2 linked regions of the Arabidopsis thaliana genome follow. The protein of the gene in region 1 interacts with the protein of each later gene in a pairwise test. Each region holds a gene or a part of one and is shown on either strand. Other genes may lie near its edges. The genes, in order: GIS2 and URO.

Region 1 (3,373 bases):
GAGCTGTAGACGTATGGTGGTGGAGGAGACTTATAGTCAACCTTCGGAGAAGGAGAATAGTATGGTGGAGGTGGGGAACTGTAGACGTAAGGTGGTGGTGGAGACTTATAATCAACCTTTGGTGAAGGAGAATAGTATGGTGGAGGTGGAGAGTTGTAGACGTTTGGTGGTGGTGGAGACTTATAGTTTACTTTTGGAGAAGGAGAATAGTATGATGGAGGTGGTGGAGAAATATAAACGTATGGTTTTGGATGTGGCGCGTACTTAGGGCTTTTGTGTTCATGGCTGGGAGAATTGTAATGTGGGGTTTGAGGGGATGAGTAAGGAGAGGAGTAAGGGTATGATGTCACTGTAGCCGCAATGGCACTTAGGACCACAACGTAAACCATGCAATGCCCTAACCCCATCGTTCTTGAGGATCTCATCATACCCATCTCTTTATTTTTATTTATTTGTTTTGGTTTTATGTTATACTTGAACATGAATACCATTTATATAGTCTTTTTTTGTGTGTGTAAATATTATACTATCTTCTCAAGTTGGCTTCGTGTGTGGCACTTCCAATTACATTAGAGGACGTGCAATGTTGTTTGTTTGAAATAAAGTAGCAATTCGATCGTGGAGAATATGAAATTTTATTAGATCCTCAATTTTTGAAATATTTGTTCGTTTTCTTTTGTTTGAACTTTGTCAACTCAAATAATTAGAAGAACAAAAGACTATTAATGATTATTTTAGCTATTGAGAAAATTTTTGTTTCATAAATTTTATGTGACAAGGGAAAAAATATTTTATTTCTCTTATGATGAATTAAAAGGCTGTGTATTAACTACTGCTTTTGTTTCTAAAGGATTATTGAAGAATTTTAGGGTATATTAGAGTTGCTTAAGCTGTTCTTCTTCTGTTAAAGCAACTGCATGCGAATCGATCGTGTGAGCAACGTTTGGTTCACGACCATGTTCTTTCCTCATGGGCGACCACTTTCATGATCCATTATAATAAAACAAATATGACGAAGACAAATTAACATAATATATCGTCACTGTTGCAGTTTGTTATGGAGAGTAACATTAATGAATCTGTTTTTAACAAGATCGTACTTCGAGACGAAAAGCAAAATCCAAACACAAAAAAAAGTAATCGCGCAGATGAGGAAACAAAGATGTGACACCACGCAGTTTACCATCTAACTACATTAATTTGAGGGATCCACCTGAAAACTTGTACTATATGTTAATTCATATGCATGGTTGTTTTATTTTACTTTTTGGTCTTGTGGTTAGTATTACCTACTCAAAAATGAGGATTTGATTAGATGAGGCAACATACAATTTGATTAACTACTCAAAAACATGGTTGTTCTAAAACTGACCATAAGGAAGAAAAAAATGTATATATATCACGACAGAGATTTGAAGTTTTGGACTAAAGCCTCACACATAGCCATCAGTGTTATATACTGTATATAAGCTGTCACTATTAAACATAGAAACAGGAACCTTAAAGATACAACTATATACTATCTTGACATCAAATACGTGTACTAAAACCTTTTCATAAAAGATGCATTGACATGACATATCAATGATGGTAGTTCGACGGGTAGAAATCATCAAGGCAAATCCGCATTTGAATTGAATGCTCACTAGATTATCTACAAGGAGACAAACCAATTAGCTCACTAGTTTAGTTCAATTCTTGTCTGGCTAATCCTATCTACATATACAAGACTATAATATAGCAAAATTAGAAAGAATATAGCTAGAAACGGGTAAATATATACTACTTACCAAAAACTAAATGTGCCTGAATAGGTCTATTATAGTTAATAGTTATTCAGTGTAAATTATCTATGTACATACCCCATCGGGAATTAAATGCAAGAAACATAGAGGAGACCGTACTTCGAAGTTGCAAATTTAACACTAAGTTGAAGAATCTAGAAATAGAAAGCCAAAATCTTCCTTTACTTCAACTCTACAATTTCAATCTTTTCTCTGTACTTAGCCATCCAGAGTCATAACCACCACTATATTAAAATGAAGACTTATGATTTCATGAACGTCAACTCTTTCTCTCCTAAGGAAAGACCCATTCGCCTCTTTGGCTTCGAGTTTGGAGCTTCTCATGAAGAATCTGAGTCCAAAGACAATTACAACGAGAACAATGAAAGCATCAAAGACGATAACAAAGAAAAAAGATTCAAGTGCCACTATTGTTTCCGGAACTTCCCTACTTCACAAGCCCTAGGCGGCCATCAAAACGCTCACAAGAGAGAACGTCAACAAACTAAACGCTTCAACCTCCATTCAAACGCAGCCGCTTTCTTCCACCGCCAACAAAACCACATTGCTGCTTCTAGGCTCTACGAGGATCGCTATAGCCTTGAAGCTGTTCAAATCAACGACGCGAGATTAGGGTTATGTCGTATGTATAACTCATCTGCGAGTTTTAATCGTGACCGTTCATCTTATTATAATAGATATATTCCTTGGTTCATCGGTGATCACCAGACTAGACCAACGTATGTCGGTGGTGGTAGCAGCAGCCATGGTCTGTTTTACGAGTCCAAGAAGAATGTACCGGACCACGTGAGTTTGGATCTACGCCTCTAGTTCCATTCTTTTAGTATCTCTCTCTAGCTAGTTCTTAAAAAAAAAAAAAGAGAGACTAGTTTTTTTTCCTTCTTTCAAATACTTTTTATTTTATTTTAGTCTACTTGATTAATTATGAATTTATGATAGTGTATCCCCGTAGATATCATGTTATATTAACAGTTAAACAATTTTATGGAGATGAACTTTAACTTCAGATAGTTTCTTTCTGAGATTTAAAGTCTTAAATATTATCGACGCATTCCAATCTCAGAATAGGTTTATATCTCACATTATAAGTATAGAATTGAGAATGGACCTTAACCCATGAAACTTAACAAAAACAAAATTAACATATGCTAAAATCTTCGGATTGTATTTTAAAATCGCTACTTGAAACTTCAACTTGTATCTAAAAAGGTAAAATTATTAATTGAATAATATAGTGTTTAGAAGCGAAACATTCGTCAATCACATCTAACGACGGTTAAAGTATGTGATTAATTGGGAATATTTAAATGATCGATTTGATAATCAGCAAGACAGCAACCATAAAAGTGGACACTTTAATTTTCGTAAAAAACAATTTGACCTTTTATTTTCTAAAAAAAATATTCAAATATCAAAAAATACGAATTTATTTGTAACATTTTTTTCGATTTTTGTTTTTTAATATTGTTATTTTTTTCATTTGACACATCGTTATTTTCATATTACTTACCATAAACCCATTTATCACCAATAGAAATTATCCTCGAACCTTCTTTTCAACCACACCA
Region 2 (3,326 bases), on another chromosome or scaffold:
AACAACAGAATGTTATAATCTTCATTAGCAACAAGGCCAACAACAACATACCTTATAGTTCTGACCAGCTTCAAAATTAGATAGTGGTGTTTTACAACCAGTACTATAAGGCATAACCTTGAAGCATCTATAGACAAGATTCTTATAAAAAAATCAGCCTACTACACCCAATTAAAATCTTTAATTTGAGTTATATATTTTAACACCGTCATTTCAATTTTTCCATGATTTTTAAGCCCAGCAAATCATAATCTGGCTCTTGAAATTTACGAACCCAAAAATCAAACCTCCAAATGATATTGGGCCTTTTAACTGGTCATACTTTGATCGCTACTTCTACTTCTAAACTTCAACTTTCAGTTCATAAAACCCAGATTTGACTTTCATTTACTCTCCTTTATTTTTTATGCATGTAATATACTATCACATTTTTATAATCATAATTTGTTTTACAACATCAAGGCTATGATTGATTCATATGAGCTCACATGGGTCTGCAAAAATGTAGTTTCTAAATTTGGAAGGCTTTTCAAATGGTGTAAATTATAAACTTCACCAACCTATTATTAAAACGCATATAATGTTTATCCCATTGCAGTTCGAATTCATTCATAATATAAGTTTAAACTTACTTTATAATGTAAATTCATACAAACCCACTTGAAATGTAAATTCATGTAAAATATTATACAAGAGAATGATAGATAGTCTTTGATTATACAAACCCAAATTTCATACAACGTAACTAATTATTAGAACATATTACGCAAAACTACTTGATCTATAGATCTACACTAATATATAGTTATGGAAAAGAACAATAATCCTGTACTATACAAACCCAACTTCAGACAACAAGAACATTTTTTTTTCTTTTTGAAAAAGGTATAACAAAAACATTACTCAAATTAACCTATTTGATCTATAATTTTTAAGTGAAAAATATAGTCTTGAATTATACAAACCCAAACTTCATACGATCATGATAAAAACATGACTCCAAGTCCAACATATTTTGATCATACTACATATATATTGAAAACATATATAAACACCACAATAAACATCATGCACTATACGGTGATTAACTTTCAACTATATATATATATTGTATATGGTTACGTGGATCGAACGTGAGGGAAACCGCTGCAAGCTTAATGATGACGATGACCGCCGAGTCGAAGATCAAGATCAAGATCACCATCTTGAGGTTGAGAACCTCCGGTCTCTGGTGGGCTCCGGTGAGTGTCATCATCTTCATTCATGGATCCGAGCCCTAAGCTCAAATTAAGATCATGAGACGCCCCTTGAGCAAATCTCCCTCCTCCTCTTGATGATGATGATGATCCAAAGTATTGTGTGTTGTGGCTAGGGTTAATAGGTGGCTGAGACCCTTGGTGTAGGTATGACTCAATGGTCGGAAAATAAGGAGGAGGGTTTGTGAAGTTTGTGGAGGAGGAGGGAGACTGAGATGGTAACGGAAGAGAAAATGGAAATGAGTGAGAAGAAGAAGAGGAGGAGGGGTATCTTTCGCGTTCCCTGCGGTGGATGTTATTGTGACCACCGAGGGCTTGAGGATTCGTGAAACCTCTCTTGCAGATGTCGCAGTCATAAGTCCGGCGGTTTTCTCCAGAGCCAGAGCCGGAATCAATTTGTTTGTCCCGGTGGTTCATCTCTCTCTTCTTCTTCTGTTGGGATCTCTCTCAAGTCTCAGTATTCAATGTTTTGAAAATGAGTGTATGAAGCTTCTTAAAAACACACACCAGCGTATATATAAGCTAAAGGAAAGATTATGTGTGTGAACGGACACTAATTAGGGCTAAATTGTTTTATCAATGGTTAATATATATACTTTAGGGTCTTTAATGTACTTAATTACGGGGGTGTGTATTATAATTAAATTCGTGCGTCTAATGTAACATGAATTAATAACTACAAAAACGTCATGCTTAGAATTATTTTAATTAGTTTATTTTCTAACAATTTTCAGGGAAAGTTTAACAAAGGATAATATAATAGATAAAGTTGAAAAATATTCTTCATAGGAAAACAAACTACAGAAGGTGTTATTTATAAGGTTTCGAGTGACTAGTTAGGGTAGCTAGTTTCTCTCTATTCAATTTCATTTTTGTTCAAGAAAAATATAAAGTTGTTCATCTTTGAATATAGTACAAAAAAGTACTTATTTGTTTGGATCGAGAGTAAAAATTGCAAAGTAAAATTGTAAAAATTGGAAGGCTAGTAGGAGCTAGTGAAATATTAAAGCTTAGTTAAATTTAATCTAATATAGTGTGAAATATATTTTGAATGTGAACATGTAATACCTACAAAATAATAAAACCAAATTTTTTAAAAGAAGCATTCACTAAGGAGTTGTGGACTTGTGGTTGTGCTTAAAGTAGGTAAAACAATTAAGAATATACAAATTGCTCTCATTAATTAAATAGCATTTATGAAATTTATTATGAGTTCTCCCCAAAACTGAAATTGATTTCGATGGTTTCTATACTTAGAAAAATATGCTTTAACAAAAACAAAATAAAACTTAGAAAAAAATACGATCGATGAGCGATCGCCTGCTACTCTTAGGATTGCTAAAATTAATATTTTACTGTATTCAATTTCAGAACCGACAAAATAATATTCACCTCCATAAACTTACTTCGTTCACACCGGTACCCTTTAACTTCTATGGACCGATTGAAACCGCGTTTTATAAGTTCGGTTTTAGCTATTGCCATATCGTTTTTTAGGATATAATAGAACGTTTAACGAATCACGATGGATCAAAACTCTCTATATATGCAATGGAAAATAATTATAGCCTCAAGAAAAATGATATTATGGAAGTTGAATAGATTTGTTATTATGTAGGCTGACTTCCTTTTGGCGTAGTCTCTTTTTAGTGAGATCATGCAGATAATATATAGTAAAACAAGTATACCATTATGTTTTATGGATTTAGATAAAGAACTATTGTCATTCGTTTTCTATAAGCTGATCAGGAGCATTAATGTTTTATAGGATTTCGAGAACATGTGAGAATCCTACTGACTTAAGAATATTCACTAGTGAATTTATAACAGACGAAAAAGAACTTTGGGACTACAGCTCATCGTAGACTTTAGCCTCCTAAAGCTACATTTATTTCTTTCATCAATAACATTTGTTTCATAAAACCCGCACGAACAAATATTCTAAATTGGCATGTGGATAAGAAACAAACTCGGTCAAGGTAAGGTCTATATAATTAAGCTTGATAAAAGAATCATACGGAAAAAATATCCACCAACAGTTTCAATATTTATATGTGTGTTTGGACTTGC

What was found.
Region 2: the proteins of GIS2 (region 1) and URO interact in a two-hybrid assay, tested with the Arabidopsis thaliana proteins (one large-scale study listed by BioGRID).

What each region holds. Positions count from the first base shown.
Region 1 is NC_003076.8:2,041,447-2,044,819, forward strand, and holds GIS2 (C2H2 and C2HC zinc fingers superfamily protein), read left to right. Parts: upstream 1-1,972; 5' UTR 1,973-2,039; coding exon 2,040-2,615; 3' UTR 2,616-2,754; downstream 2,755-3,373. Other genes in the region: EXT10 (Proline-rich extensin-like family protein), read right to left, coding at 1-482. UniProt on the Arabidopsis thaliana protein: Probable transcription factor required for the initiation of inflorescence trichomes in response to gibberellin and cytokinin. Is not involved in the regulation of trichome branching. Is functionally equivalent to ZFP8.
Region 2 is NC_003074.8:8,248,926-8,252,251, reverse strand, and holds URO (C2H2 and C2HC zinc fingers superfamily protein), read right to left. Parts: upstream 1,734-3,326; 5' UTR 1,674-1,733; coding exon 1,155-1,673; 3' UTR 769-1,154; downstream 1-768. Other genes in the region: AT3G23145 (ATP binding / aminoacyl-tRNA ligase/ nucleotide binding protein), read right to left, coding at 52-114.